Linked DNA regions of Cricetulus griseus. The protein of the gene in region 1 binds, or shares a complex with, the protein of each later gene. Links are inferred from orthologs where the notes say so. Each region holds a gene or a part of one and is shown in the gene's direction. Other genes may lie near its edges.

Region 1 (4,300 bases):
GTTATGCACCCTGGCTTATCTTCTGCCATTTCCAAAGTTGTTCAGTGGAGTTTCACTCTTGCCAGCTGTCAAGCTTTGGAGCTGGTAATGAATGTGGATGATACACTGTTTAAGGATTGCAGTGCAAAATAAGAAACTGAGACATGAGGAGGGAGGGACAGAACTCATCTACAGAAAAGCATGTTCAGCTTTTATGTTGTAGTTTTGAGAAAACTTAAAAAGTGGGCCTATATCGAAGCTTATTGTGTAAGTGTGTGTGTGTGTGTGTGTGTGTGTGTGTGTGTGTGTGTGTGTGTTTCGGAGAGACAGCCAATTAAAAATATCAAGATCAGTAAAGAAAGCCTGTTGGAGGTTCTGATTTTCTGAGGTGACTTCTCAGCTTTAATGTGGGGTGTTTAATGTTTACTTTCTTTCTAGCCAATCAGCATCCTCTTCATTTAAAAAGATGCAAATATTCCACGTTTTGGGGGCAGACAGGCATAGTATAGGATGTGACTTTATTTTTCTTCTCATTCTACGTACATGTCCTAATCCACTTTGCAAAAAGCTCAGTGTTCGCCCATGCAGAGTACAATTCAATATTAATGCATCTAAAAAGTTGTGCAGTGCCAATCATAATGGAATCAGAATATTTCTACATCCCCCTAACCCCCAGCGCTCCATATTCCTTCATCCTGGGCCATCACTAATCTATTTCCTGTCTTTGTAGGTTTGGGATGGTGCAAAATGCGTGCCTTTTAGAATGGCTTCTTCCACGGAGAACCCAGTATAGCTTAAAATATTTGACCATGACCTTCTGCCTCTGAAGACAAATGTTATTCTTGCGTTTCTTGTTGAATTAGAAAACAAGAGTACAATTTGCATAAGGCAAAATTAGAAACTAGTTAACACAAGTGGGCCTGTTCTTCTACCACAGAAGGAAATCCATATTGCCAACGATAAAAAGCAGGCTGTGAAAGCACCGGGCGCTGAGCAGTGTACGTCATAAGGTCCCTTGGGCGCAGGGGTGGGGGAGGAATGGGGCAACGGTACTGTAGAAAAGAACTCTTAAGTTTAACAAAGAGGATTCATCAAAAGGGAGAAGGAATCAAAGCGTTGGGCAGCTGTCTTTTAAGAGCAAAATTTCCTCCACTCGGAAAACTGATGGTTGAATACTTAAACCCCTCCTCCGTGTATCCACAGGAGTCCCTGGGGGGCGGGGGGGGCAGGTTCCTCAGGGTAAGCAAAGCAGAGCTTAAACCACAAGCAAGATTTCCCTCCCGCCCTTTCCCCCGCTTCTTGCTGGCACCGTTGAGCCTCGCTAGTTTGCTCAAATATTTGGAAGTGAATTTAGAGTCCTCCCCCCAACTTATGATTTTATAGCCAATAGGTGATGAGGCTTATTTGCATATTTCCAGTCACTTAAGCAGCAGTGGAGTGGAAACCGTCAGATTCGATTCCTCCTCCTCCGAGGAATTCTGTCCCTTCCAGCTGCCCTGCCCTCCCCTCTTTAAAGGTTGACTTGCCCTGCGGCGCTCTACCGCGCTCCAGCCCTTTGGCGCCTCCTGCTCAACCCCTTGCTACACGTATCTGCTCCAGCCCGCCCGCCCGTCCGCCCGCCCGCTCGCCCGCTCGTCCGCACCGCGCCGCGCACTTCCCACAGCAAAGCAGAAGGACGCCCAGGGAGATGGAGAGCAAAGCCCTGCTCCTGGTGGCTCTGGGAGTGTGGCTCCAGAGTTTGACCGCCTCCCAAGGAGGGGTGGCCGCAGCAGACGGTACGTTTTGAGCGCCGACTTGCCTCCACCTGCAGACCGGATCGAGACCATTTCCTCTCCATCTGAAGATGGGAAGGAGAAAGTTGGAAGCGGCGCTCACTGGGACTCCCGGGCGCATCAGGGAAAGGGAGTCCCAGGAAGGGTGGCTGGAGCAGAATTCAGTAGGAGCAAGGAAAGACTCAGCCTTTGATCACGCTGCGGCAACTCCGGGTTCCCGCTTTTTTCTCTCTCTCTCCCGGTTTCCCGCTCTGTCCCTAGCTCTCTCCCGCCGCGGGCCATAGCAGGGAAGGGCCGGGGGTGTGACCGAAGGGATGGGGGAGACCTGGAGGTCGGGGGCGATGCACTAGTGACAAGTTCTAACCTCCTCTTAGGGAGTGGGAGTGCTGAATGCAAAGCACCGAGGCCAAGGTGACTCTAATTTGGCTGGGACTACGGGTCCGACACTTCTGAAGGCGGGAAGAGTGAGCCGAGTGTGGCTTCATCAGGGATGGGGGTGGGAGGACGCGTTGTCTGCGTCCCGGCTGCACAGGGCATTGTCGCTCTCCGGGCAACGCTACGAGCTGGGAGTGGGAGTGCAGTGCGCCGTGGCGGTGGCGTAGAGGAACGCGTGGCCCGGAGTCCTAGGACCCAGCGTCCTGCACGCGTTCCTGAGCCGGGGAGCTATCCACTCTCCAAGCTCTTGCCCTCCGTTTAGCTCAGTACCTAAGAAAACCCAGTAAACGGCTGATCCTCGGGAAAACGTGACTCAGCCACAGTACTCTGGGGCCTTTGGCTTGGGGGTTGCCAGTTCGGCACTCTACTCTTTCTGTTCTCCCAGGAAACGCTCGCCCGAGGAGAGGTGCTCTGCTAGCTTAGAGAACAAGTGGTTTTCTAGTGTCCAGGGAGGTTTCAGTCAGCACTACTGTCACAAAGGCGGTCACCTACAGGGCGCTGCCTGCTCTCTCTGCTTAGAGAAGACGACTAGGGTCAGTTGTGAGTTTCTTTATGGCCTTGCAGTCGAGACCTGCCCACAATTGAGAAGCCTTGTAACTTGAACCTTGGTTGAGCTAACAGAGCACAGACTCAAAATGTAACTGAACCCAGTCATAAAAGGAGGCTGTTGTTTCCTTGTGTTGCTGCTGGTGGAATCGCCATGAAGGTGGTGTTCCCTGGAGGTGCTCTAAGGTGGCAAGTCCGCAGCCTAATTCCAGTGGAGTCTGGGACTGCAGTCTTAGTGGAGTCTGGGACTGCAGCTGAAAGCGAGCTTTATTTCTGCATATAGTTGTAAATGTCTTTGCTGAGTTATCAGAGAAGAGAGAATCAATCATGGGAGAACTGCAAGGAAGATAAGAATCTCAGGTGTTTGAGGACACAAATATTGTGGCTTTCCTGGAGCAGATTGTCTTTCTGTACAGTTTGCTACTCTGGTTAATTCATATTCCAGAAAGCACATCGCAGTATAAAACTGCTTTTACTGTAAACGCCCCTGGGGTCGTCCACATCTTCAAATTTTGCTAAGGTTTCCTTATAAGCTCTGGACCCAGCTTCTCAGCCACATCGTGTGTCACCCTTGTGGGGTTAGCTACATGGGTTCTAACATTAGAGAAGCTGGCAAGCCTCAAAGTGAGGTCCCAATCTTATACTATAATTTAAATGGACACCTAAGTAATTGCGTAATAATTTTGGATTTTAGCCAACACCTGATTTTCCTATCAACAAAATGTGTTAGGGAATAGTATGCTGAAGCAGATGTAAAATTATTCTCTCTGATCATCTTTCTGTTCTCTCTACCGGTGTGCTTCTTCTATCACAGCACCTTCTAGTCCTTTCTCTCACAAATGAATTCCCCCAGGGGCAAGACTGTGGGAAAGGCACAGCTTGGAGTGACCCCAGTTTCCCTTTGGGCTTTGAGTTTCCTTGATCGCTCTTGATTTTTTTTTTTTCTGGGAACAGTGCCCTCGTATGAGAGACATTGCCCTGGAGACTTCTTCCTGGAGCCTCTGCAGCCCCTCCTGGCTCCAGTCAGGAAAGTAGAGAGCTAAAAGAGGGAGCAGAGAGGGCCCTGCTCTGTGAAGTCCTGTTCCTCAGGGCACAGTGCTCACTTGCGGGTTAATATCATAGTTAAATAACTGGATAATGACAGCAATGGCAAATGTCACTAGGAGAGAACTTGACAGGGGAGTGATTGATTAATAGCTGGATTGAAAGGTGGGGGGAGTCACGTGGCAGGGAGAGTTGCAATGGAAAGATGTTCAGTTTCTTTCTCTGAGTGTATTTTTAGCACAGCTTCCCTTTGCTGCTGCATTGTAGAGGAGACGGTTACACTCAGTTGACTGCTTCTGTTCTGTCAGGTTGTCCAGCATGCCATGTGTCCCTTTTCCCTCTGACCACGGCCGGTTTCCACCTTATTATCACAAAGGCTGCATCTTTTTTGCTGTTTTGTTTTGTTTTTGAGGCAAGGTTTTCTATGTGTAGATTAGGCTGTCCTGGAACTCATTCTGTAAACCAGTCTGGTCTCGAACTCACAGAGACCCGCCTGCCTCTGCCTCCCTAATCCTGGGATTAAA
Region 2 (3,642 bases), on another chromosome or scaffold:
TGCTCTAAACAACCCCTGGAGACTGGCCATTTCTCCTACGCCCTACATACGATCCAGGAGTCTGAGGCTTAGACAAGGAACTGGCGCAAACCACAAGACAGGCAAACTTCCCAGGGCCTGACACTGATTCAACCTCCTGGCCAGCCTCCCTCCATACCTCAGGTGAGGGAACATGACTCTCCGGGACCTAGCTCTCCCATCTGCAAACTCCCCTGTAGGGCTGGGGACAGTATATGCTGGGTCTGGGAGGGTGGATGTAGCACTGGGAACAGTGTGTGCCCCCACTATTGGTGCTGTCAAACAAAGAGGCCATACTACCCCTGCACCCAGAGAGAGACCTGACGCCACCAAGGGCTCACACAGAGTACCCTGGGGGAGACAGTGGCTGGAGTCAATGGCTTTGCCAGGCAGAAGCCAGGCCAGGTAGATTATAGCCAGTCCCAGAAGGCTCCCTGCCTCAAAGTCAACACCTACCTAAGTGCAGAAGCCCAGGGACAGCACCTACCTTCTGTAGCCTCATCAGTGGTCGGGGTATCCTTGAGGGGTTAGAGGCTGCACTATCAAGGGACAACCATCCAACCAAGTGTGATATGGAGCAGTAGGGAAACTTCAGGAGAGGTAACTAACTCATAAAGAGATTGAAGGGGGAAAGAGTTACAGTCTAAGGAAGAGGCGGCCAGTGCAGCAGGAGCCTGGGCCAGCAAGATCAAGGCCAGGAGGTGAGAGGAAGAGTGGTTCTCCGAGCTAAGTTGGACAGACCATGCTCTCATCTGAATACTCTGCACTCAGGTGGAAGGTACCTGCCTGTGGCCCTCAGATAGAGTCCTAAGCCCTTGTAGCTGTGCATCCAGGGTCCCCAGAGGTTTGGGATAGGTGCTTATCTCATCAAGCTCACCCACATCAAGCATGACAATGCTGAGGCCTGGAGGCCCAGGAGTCAGGACAGGACAAGGTGGTTCCTGAGGCCAGCACTTACCTTTTGTAGCCCCCCACCAGGCAATGGGAACAGCTCAGGTGGACAGCACAACCAAGGCCAATATAACAACTTCCCTTTCCTCTCTGTCCCCGGAGGTCCTTGAGGAAAGCGATGTTCCTGGCCTGGCGCCGCCTGCAGCTGAAAACCAATGTGAAGCCTATTGTTTCAGGTTAGAGCTGGTGGGGGCCACGGGAAGCCCCCAGTAATGCCCTATGTCCCACTTACTGCAGACCCAGAAGCCCGAGTGAGGAGTGCAACACTGGACAGAACAGCCTGCTCCAGGATGAAGGCACTCAGGGTTGTCCTTCTGGTCTTGCTGCTAAGTGGACAGTCAGGTGAGGGTCATCCCAAGAAGGGGTAGTCCAGTCCTGACTCATGAGTACCTCCAGGAACCCCTTATCCCATGGACAAGGAATAGGCTTAGGGAGGAAGATGGAGGGCCTGGGGCCCCTTCCTTCTGCCGGCTGCAGGCTTGACTGCTTCAGCACTACAGGGGTGGAGATGGGGAGAATTCTGTCTCCTTGTATAAAATGGAAAGGACCCGGGAAAGAGGGCATGTTAGGGTCAGGACTTAGTGCTCAACCCCGAGTGTGTTCTCTGCGTCTGGATAGCCGAGGCTCACAGATGTCACTGCACCACCAGGGAGCAGGCAGGCACAAGAAGAAGATGGCGATGTGGACTTGGGGCCAGAGAGCTATGGCTACGAAGATGACTATGAAGAGGAGGAAGAAGAGGAGACCAACATGGTCCCTGGCAGCAGGGACAGAGGTACCCACCCCAGCTGAGGGCCCGCCTCCTGCTCTGCATGGGGCATTCTCTATCACTTACCTCCTATCCCGAGGGTAAAGCAGAGCAAGCTGCTGGCATCCAAGCCAGGACCCAGCATGCCAGCACACCGGCTCTCTTCTCAGGCTGCAGTTTTCTCCACCCTGAGCTAACACTCAAGTCTGCCCCTCTCTGTCCACCCCACCCCCACCCCTGCCTACGTGCTTCCTTAGCCCTGGGTTTCAGCTTATCTGACTGACCCCCATGTTCTGTCGTCCTTAATAGCTCAAGGCACAGGCTCTTTCAAGAGGACTAGTGGGTGATGGGTGGTGGATGATGAGGGCAAGTACTTGGGGATGGCCCTACTCTCAACCTGAGCTGGCCTGCTACCCACAGAATCTTTACAGTGCTACATCTGCCAGTCGCTACACAGTGGGGAGAGCTGCAACCAGACACAGAGCTGCTACCACAGTAAGACCTTCTGCACCACATTCATCTCCCATGGCAACACTGGTGAGCATTTGGAGAGGCACACCCAGGGAGGGGGTCAGAGAAGGAGCCCACACTGACACCCACGCCCTGCCCTCACTACCTGTTCTCCACACCCCCTAGACAAAGGTCTGTTGACCACCTACTCCATGTGGTGTACCGATACCTGCCAACCCTTCACCAAGACGGTATTAGGCACCCAGGTGACCAAGAGCTGTTGCCAGTCCACACTGTGCAATATTCCACCCTGGCAAAGCCCCCAAGTCCAGGACTCTTTGGGTGGACAAGCAGGCAGCCCCGTGGATGGTGGAGCCAGACGTTCTCAAGGTGGCATTGCAGGTAGCCCCCTGGATGGTGGAGTCAGACATCCTCAAGATGGCAGGATTGACCACCCCCAGGTTGTCAAGATTACCCGTCCTCAGAGTGATGGGGCTAGCTTGCCCAAGGGTGGAAGAGCTAACAAGCCCCAGGGCAGTGGGGCAGGATGCCCTCCAGGCTGGCACAAATTTGGTAACACAGCCCTCCTGCTCAGCCTCCTCACTAGTCTATGGACATTAGGGGTCTGAAGACCTACCCTCCTCCTAACAGGATACCCTGGCCTCCCCTTCCCCACAGCCAGCTTCAGAGAATAAACTTGAATTCCTTTTGCAATCCAGCTAGCTGTAGCTCCTCTGACCATTCTCTGTCCTCAGTTTCACCCTCAGGCCTCCTCACCTTCTTCTCCTCAGCCATGGGCAGCTCCCTGGGTACCATGTCAGCCTCGGGTCCAGGCATCTCCTGCCAGTGCTCTAGGGATGGTCAGCTTACAGGGGTCCCACCTGCCCAGCTGCACAGAGATAATAGCAAGCCTGTAAGCCGAATTCTCTTCCTGAATTTGCCAGCATGAAATTATTCCCCGGAGCCACCATCTAAATAAACTCAGCCCTTTCACAGGTGTGAGGTGCAGGGTGATCCTCAGCCACCTGGAAAGAGGGAGTCTTGGAGGGAGACCAGGAAAGTTGCAGGGTTGAGGTAGAGTAACTACAGTCAAGGAAGGGAGGAGGCAGAACAGGCAGGAAGGCCCAGCTGCTGAGTAGGGGATTTCCCAGCTGCAACCTGGCCAAGAAATTCATCCTTTTAAGGATTCCAGACCCTCTCTCACAGCCCAGGCCTCCAGGAGCCCAAGATGGGCAGCAGGTCTGGGAATGAAAAGCCCGATGGGTTCTAGTGGCAGAGAAATGGCTAGCACCCATCCCTGCCTGGGTGGGTGGGTACCTTTTCTGGCTGGGGGAGGCACCTCCTTGATGGGGAACCTGGCCACTTGGCGGATTGGCAGTCCTTAACTGGGTGTGGCCCTTAGCAGCTGAGTTCTTGGCTTCCTTGACAGCACCAAGCTATTCTTCCACCAGCAGTTGGTGCCAGGACAGATGTCT

The links. The genes of interacting proteins can lie anywhere in the genome.
Region 2: the proteins of Lpl (region 1) and Gpihbp1 are in contact, whole or in part, in a crystal structure (PDB 6OAU), measured with the Homo sapiens proteins. The link is inferred for Cricetulus griseus from reciprocal best matches to the Homo sapiens genes LPL and GPIHBP1. Residues at the interface, in NP_000228.1 of Homo sapiens: Tyr367, Gly368, Thr369, Ala371, Glu372, Glu374, Leu403, Met404, Lys406, Lys430, Lys440, Ile443, Cys445, Ser446, Arg447, Glu448, Val463, Lys464, Cys465, His466, Asp467, Ser469; in NP_835466.2 of Homo sapiens: Cys68, Lys69, Ser70, Leu92, Ala94, His95, Gly96, Asn97, Thr98, Glu99, Ser100, Leu103, Thr104, Thr105, Ser107, Trp109, Cys110, Thr111, Asp112, Ile117, Lys119, Val121, Glu122, Thr124, Val126, Met128.

Annotation. Positions count from the first base shown.
Region 1 is NW_023276806.1:245,574,410-245,578,709, forward strand, and holds the start of Lpl (lipoprotein lipase), read left to right. Parts: upstream 1-1,422; 5' UTR 1,423-1,666; coding exon 1,667-1,754; intron 1,755-4,300. UniProt on the Homo sapiens protein: Key enzyme in triglyceride metabolism.
Region 2 is NC_048595.1:372,879,217-372,882,858, forward strand, and holds Gpihbp1 (glycosylphosphatidylinositol-anchored high density lipoprotein-binding protein 1), read left to right. Parts: upstream 1-1,259; coding exon 1,260-1,311; intron 1,312-1,618; coding exon 1,619-1,744; intron 1,745-2,137; coding exon 2,138-2,254; intron 2,255-2,353; coding exon 2,354-2,509; intron 2,510-2,557; coding exon 2,558-2,796; 3' UTR 2,797-3,073; downstream 3,074-3,642.